Linked DNA regions of Nothobranchius furzeri. Each later gene encodes a partner of the first gene's protein in a complex. Links are inferred from orthologs where the notes say so. Each region holds a gene or a part of one and is shown on either strand. Other genes may lie near its edges.

What was found.
Region 2: smarcc2 (region 1) and dpf3 share a complex: the UniProt entries of both Homo sapiens proteins name them as parts of the BAF complex. The link is inferred for Nothobranchius furzeri from reciprocal best matches to the Homo sapiens genes SMARCC2 and DPF3.
Region 3: smarcc2 (region 1) and phf10 share a complex: the UniProt entries of both Homo sapiens proteins name them as parts of the neural progenitors-specific chromatin remodeling complex. The link is inferred for Nothobranchius furzeri from reciprocal best matches to the Homo sapiens genes SMARCC2 and PHF10.

What each region holds. Positions count from the first base shown.
Region 1 is NC_091743.1:50,353,200-50,356,220, reverse strand, and holds the end of smarcc2 (SWI/SNF complex subunit SMARCC2), read right to left. Parts: coding exon 2,999-3,021; intron 2,820-2,998; coding exon 2,658-2,819; intron 2,572-2,657; coding exon 2,510-2,571; intron 2,428-2,509; coding exon 2,307-2,427; intron 2,237-2,306; coding exon 2,073-2,236; intron 1,988-2,072; coding exon 1,853-1,987; intron 1,743-1,852; coding exon 1,361-1,742; intron 694-1,360; coding exon 629-693; 3' UTR 542-628; downstream 1-541. UniProt on the Homo sapiens protein: Involved in transcriptional activation and repression of select genes by chromatin remodeling (alteration of DNA-nucleosome topology).
Region 2 is NC_091742.1:25,621,756-25,625,412, forward strand, and holds part of dpf3 (zinc finger protein DPF3), read left to right. Parts: intron 1-894; coding exon 895-1,055; intron 1,056-3,139; coding exon 3,140-3,247; intron 3,248-3,657. UniProt on the Homo sapiens protein: Belongs to the neuron-specific chromatin remodeling complex (nBAF complex).
Region 3 is NC_091749.1:34,751,288-34,755,044, forward strand, and holds the start of phf10 (PHD finger protein 10), read right to left. Parts: upstream 2,560-3,757; 5' UTR 2,350-2,559; coding exon 2,278-2,349; intron 1,378-2,277; coding exon 1,271-1,377; intron 1,123-1,270; coding exon 992-1,122; intron 736-991; coding exon 652-735; intron 572-651; coding exon 447-571; intron 351-446; coding exon 201-350; intron 119-200; coding exon 9-118; intron 1-8. Other genes in the region: rab4a (ras-related protein Rab-4A), read left to right, coding at 3,006-3,021, 3,681-3,757. UniProt on the Homo sapiens protein: Involved in transcription activity regulation by chromatin remodeling. Belongs to the neural progenitors-specific chromatin remodeling complex (npBAF complex) and is required for the proliferation of neural progenitors.

The DNA.
Region 1 (3,021 bases):
CGGCGGGTATTCCAGACAACAAAAGGAAGGTGTAAGTGCTAAAATCCAATTTGATGGATGCTTCAAGTTTTTTAGCGAGACCTTGGGAAACATTTCAAAAGTGCTTTTCTTTCTTCCTAACATACGTGTATGTTTTAATACGTGCATGTATGTTTTAATACATACATGTATGTTTTTATACGTACCTAAAACACAAAGATGTGAAGCTGGAGACTTCACGAGCCATGAAAGAGTGTAACAGGAAAACAAAAGCAACAACGTTCAAAACACAAGATGACTCTTTTGTCTTTCTTGGGTGCTGGCATGTTGATAATCCATGCTGACCAGATCTCCTGGGGTGAGTTTATGATTCTGACTTGACAGTTGATGTCCAGTCAACCACGAGGGATGAAAAATCTATTTTCCTCAAGAGTCGACTTAGTTTGAACAGTCAGGAGAGGGAGTTGACTCGTGTATCTTATTTTTCTGTCACACATTAAATTTCCTGTTGGAAAAAAAATACTGAACATGAAAACTGTTTTTTTTTTTTTTTTATGTCCGGGAGCTGAATACTTCATTTCAGATGATACAGGCAGGATTTGGAATGGTCAGTCATTTGGATTTTCAGGTTTTTTCTTAAAAAGTATTCTCACTGTGGAGGAGGAGCAGGAGCTGAGGGGTGGAGAGTTTCTCCTTGGAGAGGGGTGCTGGGCTCTGTGGATAAAGCAGGAGAAAATGTCTGAAGAAGTACTCTCAAGTACCAGGCAGTAGTTAATCCTTAGCGCTATAATACGTATAACGAAATGTATCGGGACTCCCGGTAACACGAGAACTTCTAGATTTAAAACTACTTTTCCTGCCTGAAAATTATTGACACGTGCAATAAAGGGTAAAATCAATCATCGCCATGTCTGTTTACTCCAAAGATCTTGTAAGATTTCCTGTCTGACTGGAGAATGTTTGTGTGTGAAATCAGACCGTGTCTAGTGTTTAGTTTTTGCTGTGTTGCCGGACACCAAACAGATACTTGATTAAAATCCTGCTTTCTGCTGGGAAAAACCTGTCACAAAAACAGTTTGGGGTGAATGCTCCTGACCAGAGACAGTGGGAGGAGGATAATAAAGGGAATTAAACACGTGCAGAACTTGCAGGTTAAAAATTTTTGTGGCAGCTTGGGAGAAATGGGAATGGTGGGTGGCACATGATTGAGTGGATTATGAGGGAATGCCCTTTTGTTTAGTAATTTGCCTGCAGAACCTGTTTTTGCTGAGCGGTGTTTGTTGTTCTTGATTTAGTTCTGTGTTATTTTCCTGTTCAAATTGTTCACCATTGTTTTCTGACATAAATGCTAATTAAATACCTGCTGTATGTTTAAACTCACCATGGAGTACAGGTGTAGTGCTGGAGCTGGAGTGAGGGGCTGGAGCTGGGACGGGAGCTGAGGCCTGGCTCGGGGGGCAGGGCGATGGGGTATGAGTCCCTGCAGGAGGTTGGGCTTCAGGAGCCGGGGCAGAAGAGCTTGGTGGTGCAGGGCTAGGAGCCGCCTGTGATGCTGGTGTGCTGGGAGCTTGTTGCCCTGCAGTCGGAGCTTGGAGCTGAGGGCCTGAGGAGGCCTGGTTGGAATGAGGACCGCCGGTCTGACTGTGCTGCTGGTGCTGAATCTGCTGGAAGTGCTGCTGGCGAGCTCTCATCTCAGCGTATTTCAGCTGCTCCATGTGAAAGGACTGCCGGTCGGCCAGCAGCTGCTGCCGCTGGTACTCAAGCTGGAAGCAAAACAAACACGTCTCAGATGAATTAGTGCTACTGCACATCCGTTGTTCTGGGAATAAAACAGGTCATTTATGTCCAATAATTCCCAAATTCCATCACTTACAGCCTCCCTCTCTCTGTCCATGATGGTTTCCAGTTCTTCAAAGTGTCGCAGTTTAATCTCAAGCTTCTTCATTTGTGTCTCCACCAGCAGAGCCACCAGAGATTTGATCTTTCTCTCCTCCACTGCAGCCAGATGCTGTTTACACAGAGAAGGAGAATTGGATTAAAGAAACCCAACAAACAAACGGTGACTGACAGAGCAGCGGTAAAATGAACTTCACCTTGGCTTTGACAGCAGCAGCAGCTAAAGCAGAGGCGGCAGCAGTTGCCAGGTTTCCCTCTCCCACATCACGCTCAACCTTCGCCTTCCTTTCTCCTTCTATCTCTCCCTCTCTCTGCCCCTCCTCTGTTCCCTCTTTTGCATCCTTCTCCTTTTCTCCATCACCTGAGAGAAGAAAACATGGTTTTATTATATTTTTCCTGACACGTCTGTCTATGGCCAGGTCCTCTCATACCCATCTCAGACTCGGCTTTGTCCGCCTCCCTCTCTCCTTCGGCTTCTCTTCCCCTTTCTTCTTCCTTCTTTCCATTTTCCACCTGTTTCTCTTCTTCCTCTACTGCTGTATCTTTACTCACCTTAATAAATAAAAAAAACAGTTAACAACTAATAAATAAGAGACACAGCTTTCATTTAGTTTGTTTTGAACAAGCATCCTACCTTAGCATCTCTCTTCTCCTCACTTGATTGGCTGTCACTCTTACTTTCATCGCTGCTTTCATCTGAAGAGAAGACAAGTCAGAAATGTAAATTCTTCCTGTATCGTTGAAGCGCTCTTTCCCTAGTTGTGTCCATCTGTCCATCCTACCGGGTCTTTCTCCCTCCTCCAGGCCGGTGCCTGCGATGCCACTACCCTCCAGCCCATACAGAGGATCTTGTCGGCCGCTGACTCGCGCCGCTTCTTCCACCCGCCGCACGTGAGCCTCCACAAGCGCCGCGGGGACCTCCTCCTTCATACGAGAAAACTCCTCTGAGAGAAGGAGCAACAGCTTGAGGTTATTGAAGCAAAACATCCAGCCCTTGGTTAGTTAGTGGTCTCATAAACAAATGACCCAGGAATCTACAGTGTTGGAACATTACTCAGCAACTTCCCTGCCTTTTCACGTAGCTGAAAATGACATGAAGAGAATTTTTCTGTGTATTTCTCACCGAGAGCAGATTTAGCTGCGGCC
Region 2 (3,657 bases), on another chromosome or scaffold:
GCACCAGGTTATCATGTGGCAGAAACACCCCTTCTTTAAACAAATCACCAATAGTATTTAATCCTTTCACTTACCACTCTTCCCAGTAAACAGGTTTCTTCCCTATGCAGATCCTGGGATTATACCATAATGAGGAATATTTCTGCTGACTATGTTTGAGGTTTAACAGTCTATGGACTCTGCCAAAGCTGGTTTTTGTCCAGTTTGGCATTCTTTACATATCTGAGAGGAAAAATCCCCGAGAGGGGGTTTGATGGTCAGAGATATAGTAAACACAGAAGCAGGATATTTAGGATTTACCGACTCGAGCAGGGATCATTCTTCTGTTTTCAAAAGTTTGAGAAATTTTTCTGCATGTCTTTTTTTTTTCATTTCAAGTCACACGTTTTACTCAGTTTTATTAAATAAATTAATGTCAATATGAGTCACATGTTTCCTGTGGCTCTAATATGAGAATCTGGAACCTATTATGATTATTCTGTCTTTTAGGGTTAATCTTAATTATTATTTTGTGTTGCTGCTCTTTTTAAAACTTTTTTAGATCACATAAATGGCTTCAGGATATATATATATATATATATATATATATATATATATATATATATATATATATATATACACATAATTCTGATGTTATTTTCTACAAAATAAAGAATTAGAAAATCTCATCCAGGCTAAACATTTCAGATACACTCAATATTAATCAGTTTTGTGCTAAATAATAGCAACGGTGGTTTGCCGTACTCAAAACAAAATAAATATGTACCGGTAAATGAAATGAATAAATAAAGACCTCCATAAATGTTCAGTGGAACCGTTATGTTTCATGTTGGGTTCAGGTTTCGTCCTGCTCTGCTGCCTGACTATATCTGTGTCCCTCCTCTGTTTCTGCAGGCTCGGTGACCAGTTTTATAAAGAGGCCATTGAACACTGTCGCAGCTACAATGCTCGCCTCTGTGCTGAGCGCAGCGTGCGAATGCCCTTCTTGGACTCCCAAACTGGCGTGGCTCAGAACAACTGCTACATCTGGATGGAGAAACGTCACCGTCGGCCAGGTGAGACACACCTGGGAGAGCTTGTGGGGTGGTGGTGGGCGAGTGGTACAACACTATTTTCCCTCCAGTTAATAAATAAATGTTTAGTTCTACACTTTTTAAAATTTAAAAACACACAAAAACTCCACTCTCAAAACAATAATAGCATTATTCAATATTATCGGCTGATATTGGAATTAAAATATAACACATGAAATTATCGGGATGAGATTTTAAGAACCAGCTTCTGCTTTTTGCAGATGATGTGGTCCTTTTGGCTTCATCTGAAAGTGATCTCCAGCTTTCGCATCAGCTCCTCTAAAACCGAGACCATGGTCTTGAGTCAGAAATGGGTAGAATGCCTTCTCCGGGTCAGGGATGAGGTCCTGCCCCGAGAGCTGAGCCGGAAGGCAAAGCTCTCGATTAACTGGCCGATCTACATTCCTACCCTGATGTATGGTCACGAGATTTGGGTAGTGTCCAAAATGATGAGATCGCGGATCCAAGCGGACAAAATGGGTTTTCTCCGCAGGGTGCCTGGGCTCTTCCTTAGAGATAGGGTGAGAAGCTCGGTCATCTGGGAGGGGCTCGGAGTAGACCAGCTGCTCCTCTATGTTGAGAGGAGCCGGTTGAGGTGGCTCAGGCATCTGATTAGGACGCCTCCTTGGTGAAGTTTTTTGGGCACTTCTAATTGGGAGGAGATCGAAAGGAAAACCCAGGACACGCCGAAGGGACTATGTCTCACGGCCGGCCAGGGAATGCCCTAAAAGGTACAAAAAGTCCCTAAAGAAGTGTTGATCACCAGTTCAAAAGCTTGTTCGGGTTCATCTGAAACAAAATCTAAAGAAATGAGGGATGACTTTAACACTTGTAAATATGCATCCATTTCTTCAATAAGATCAGACTCTGATGTCTCAGAAATGGTTTTTCTTTGATTTATCGAGCAGTCGAGACTTTTTACGCACGTGCGGTTCATCTGAGAAGCCAAAGGGAACAATCATGCTTTTTTCTGAGACCTGAACAGAAATAGCCCGCTCTCCATCTCCATGCAAAGTCCTTCAGGCCACACCCTATACTTTGTGGCAGACCTAACACACATGATATGCATTTATTCTGGGCTTATTCCTCCCCCAACTTCTCCTGAGATTTTTATTTGATGCTCTACTCATGTGGACATAAAAGCTCTTCTCCTTTGCTTCTGTCTCCTAGATTATGGTTAAATGCGTAGGTAGTTCATTATTTATGAGCAGGGAGATAATTATGCTTTGCCAGAGCATTCTACGATTTTAACGTGTTTGATGAAATATTTTTTACTTACAAACAACAATGCCAAAAAAGAAAAAAAAAACTAAAATTAAATCTTTGTTTCTTTAACCAAACAAGTAATTTATCTGAAATAAAATAGCACCATGTTTAACAGGAATGCCCCCAAACCTATTATTCCCATCTAAGGAAATTAATTTGAAGGCTGAGAATTATTTATTTATTTATTTTAAACAGTCTTGGATTATTTAGGAGACCAAATATCACACATTATATGCTAACATAAGTCCTGCAATTTGTCAGGACCAACCAAACAGGCTAACGTCCAGCCAATCACGTATTGTGACGTAAACGGCAGCTCCCTCAGCTGATCTGAGAGCCTGAGTACATCTGATACCCCTGCATTAATTCCATGTAGATTTTGGTGTTATGCAAAAATGCTAAATGTGTGAAAATTAAAAAAACTTTGCTTAAAAAATCTTTGAGTCAACTATTATGAAATTTTGAGCAGTTTGATCTTTGCTTTGCTCTGGCTAGCCAATTGTTCATCAGTCAATTTGGATATACACTTTGTTTCTCCATACTGATGTTCAGGAAAAGTGAGATAGTAGCAATGTCTTTAAGTACAAGGCCTGTCCGTGGACCAGTGTACGTGCATGCGTGGGTTTGTGTGTGTGTGTGTGTGTGTGTGTGTACAAAACTCAATGGAGGGTTTGTTACCCTTGCCAGTAGGTTTTGAAATTCTTCCAGTGTGCCCATGTCTCTCCTCGCGCTCGTGTGTGTGTGTGTGTGTGTGTGTGTGTGAAATCTTATAATCCTGTTGCATACGTGTGTTTTTTCAGGCCAGGCTGCAGGACAGATGTATACGTACCCTGCTCGTTGCTGGAGAAAGAAGAGGCGACTCCACCCTCCCCTGGATCCCCAGCTCCGCCTGTGTGAGCTTCGTCTAGGTAAGACAAGACAAACAACATACAGGCACATTGCTGCACCGAACACACACACACACACACACACACACACACACACACACACACACACACACACACACACACACACACACACACACACACACACACACACACACACACACACACACACACACACACACAAAAAGATGGTTTTGACACACCGTTGCACAAATAAAACCACTTTAACTCATGCATTGTTTCACCTTTGCAAACTAATGTCAATTTAATAGAAATGTTCATCATTTCTCTCAGGATTGGGCCATCTGGCTCTGGTTATCCCATCTCTCACACCAGGTCTCCAGGTTCATTCGCTCCCCTGAATCAATCCCCCCTCTTGCTGTTCTGTGGCTGCATGCACACACTTTATACTAACACCCCCCACATGTGACTCT
Region 3 (3,757 bases), on another chromosome or scaffold:
AAATGTACCTTTTGTAATAATCTTGGAACTGTCCTGGAATGAGAGCAACAGGATAAGGTCCTGTTCTGGTCAGCTCCGGAGCCAACACCTTGAATCTGCCTTGTGGCACCTGAATAATCTAGGATCAAAATAAGACATAAATCTTAAAACACAGCTGGTTAGCGCTGTGTCATTGTTGAATGTTTGATGTTGTATTTTACATGAGTCTGGAGGTCAAAGTACGCTCTCCGCTCCTCCATTCGCTCCCTGTTGAAGTTACTGTTGAACTCTGCAGCTTTTTTCGCTGCCTCCTTTATGTACTCAGGAACTTTACTTGCCTCCACCTTCTGAGGGTTCTGCTGCTGCATTTGCTAAAACATGACAGAAAACAATACAAGAATTAAGACCATTTTAAAAAATATTTATCAAAGCAACCATACCAGACATCCTGTTTATTCCTCACTTACAGAGTACTCTTTAGCTATTCTCTGTCGCTCCCTTTCCTGCAGAATGACTGAATACTCTGAGTGTTTGGTGGGATACTCTTTTATCATTAGATCGATCACTTCATCACTCCGCAGAGCTGTGAGGCCTGCAGACATGAATGCAGCAGGATAAAAAAATGAAGTGAGACTAAGTGTGCATGTAAAGTTAAGAGATATTATTCCTTACCCAGAGTGCATTGTGTCTCCGTGATGACATTCTGCTCACGAAGATAGAGCTTCTCCTTGTGGGACAAGTCTCTCCTTTCCATGTCTAAAAAAATCATAGATAAGAAATAAACTAAATCATAATAAAAAAAAATGAGTGCAGCTTCATAAAAATAGATCTAACATGGAGTCTGAGCCACTTTGCCCCTTGTTTATATAATCAAAAAGCACAATAGCTCCTCTACAACAGCTTATCACAAATATTATTTTGAAGTTTTACTTGAACAAATGCATTCATACAAAATCATTTTGAAAAAAGGAACAGAATTCCAGCTTGAACACAAGGATCCTCTCAGCCTCACCAGGATACTTCCTCTTGAATGACGTCACTCCCAGATACTCGCTGACCTGCTCCTGCAGCATGTAATATTCTCCTGTTTCATCAGCAGGCCACTTGTACTCCGTCAGGTTTTCTGCTGGGAAATATGTTGGCCTGAACAAAAAAAAAAATCCACTTTAGGAATAAAATTGCACATTCTAGAGTACAACACCTGGGAAAGTTTGACAAGTAAAGTGTGTTTTAAATTTAACAATATTGTGTAAAACATGACGGTAAAAACTAGATTAAAGCACCCTCTTACCCAAGCTCTTGATTGAAGGTATCGCAACTTCGAGAGCTGTCCCCCGAACCCATTCTCCTTCTCTTAGGTTGGCTGCCATCATTGGACACTTCCTCTATTACATCCTCCTAAAAACAGGAAAAAAGCTCTTCATTAAAATAAAAAAAAAAAACATGCTGAATGTTTTTATCTTTATCAAAAGTTCTAATTTATTTCAACTTTTGCTGCTTTTTACACATTTTCTGCCCAGTCATGTAACAGCAGAATAAGAGGTGATTAAATATTTAAAAAATTGTCAGGTTTCAAGAGATGTATACATCAGGTAAACTATTCCTGAAAGTCACAGTGCTTAAGAAATATAAATCTATCCTGGAAAAACCTGACAAAGGACCATGAAAGTAGTTGTTTACAAAAGACTTGAGTGTTTCCTCTGTACCCAAATCAGTGAAAATGAATGGAGGGCAACCAAAACCTGAAATGCAATACAGCTGCATCATCAACTTTAGAGGCATTAACCTCTAGAATAATAGGGTTCAAACCCTCTGGCTTGAGCATCACTTCTAAAAAATGAAAGTTTATAGAAACTACTGTACATATTAGACAAGACCATTTCCCTGACAAGGTAGGATTAAAAGACTCGTGTGTTGTTTGCCAGTTCAGGGTTACTTCATACATTTTTTATTTTAAATGAGCCACTGCAAAACATGATTTATGAGTGATATAATAATTCATTACCTGTAAACAACTCACGTGTACAAAACGTGTTATTTTAGGAAAAACAAGTATAAGTTTCATTAGATATAAAATAAAAGTAGAACTTAAAATAGAGAAATTAGCAAATAATGCATTTTGAGGTTACGTTTCGTTTTTATACGAGTCAAATTACACAGGCGACTTTTCAACAACTGAAAGGTAAATTGAATAAACTGAGCACACATGAAAACAAAGAATGGACGCTAATACGGCTAACGGGGTCATTCGTGGACACAGGCTGAAGCATGAAGCAGTTTAAGGAGTGTGAATGTCACCTTTAAAGATTGCGCTCCTGGGGTGGCAGGATTACTATCGCAAGGTGGTCTAATGGGGAGCACAGTAGCCATATTTCGACAAAATAATGTTCCGCAGCTAGGCTAGTTCACTAGCTTGAGTCTGCGTTTCTTCTTCTATGGTAAAGCCTTCGGTTTAGAAAGCGAACTCTCCTGGCCTGGATCGGTGATAGAGGTGAAAAACGTTTTACTTTTAAATACCAAATATTCCGATCATGTATTAAAATCATGTGAAATCGGTTTTGGTCCTTTAACGCAAGGTTATCACAGCAGAACAATTTTTAAAATAGTTGTCTAGCTGCAGTCAGCCAATCACAGTGACCACTACTGCCGCCTACTGGTCAATACTTGCACGTATAATCCTTCAAGTTGACAACAATAATAAGTAATATATCTGGTCACTAATTATTACAATGTGGATGTTTCTTATTTGTGATTATTTTTTACATCTATAATAAATCATGATTTTAACGTTTCTGGAGACTTAATAACAGCTCCATAGTGAGGCGAAAACTATATAGTGCATCACAGTGTCGGTCATGGAAGGACTTTTACTTTGAAAGGAAGAACCTACGGGAAGTCGGAAGGAAAAATCAGCTGGAATGCACGGAAATTATCACTGGTGTATTCCTTTACTGAGCTAGCTGTGCATCTGTCAACTTTTATTCCTCCCTTCATTTTGCTTTTGGAATCAAACCGCCACATTGGCGATGTCGGAGTCTTACGGTAAGGAGTCTGCTTTAAACCGAGGCAACAGTTAACGGGTGCCTTCTGGTAGTCAGTGGTAAAGACGAGGCAGGTGTGCCCAGAAGGCGTTTTCTCATCGCAAAAAGATAGCCGACAGGCTAACCGTTTCACCACTCAAGGCTTCTGGCCTTAAAGCAGAGCTGTCAGTCAACTCAGATCATACATCTGGGTTTGATGTAGCTTTTCACACTGAATGTAACGGAGCTTTTGGGATTCTAATCAGAAGAACCGCTAGATACCAGGTAGGGGTAAAGAGGAGGACAGGGCTGGCATAAATTTGAGGCTGAACTGTTCAACTTTTTAAATAAATAACCATTTAATGCTCTCTTTATGTGTATATTTTACATTTGGATCATTCTAAATCTCACAGTAAAATATTATTGCAGCATACAAAATGAGTTGTTTACACCATAAACACAATGAACAAACCTGTGGTTAGTAAGCAGGTGTCCCTGCCTTTATAAACAAACCATCAGGTATTCATGTGTAATATATATCAGCTGGTTTATATCTCAGTTATAAAATAATCTTGATTCAAATAAGATTAGGATTAAGATGAGCTAGTGCCTATGAATGCCACATTAAGAGGGTCAAGCTGAGCTTATGTCTATTAAATGATTGTATTGTTCCCCTTGTAGATTTCCTGTTTAAATTCCTGGTAATTGGGAATGCTGGGACAGGAAAATCCTGTCTGCTGCACCAGTTCATAGAGAAA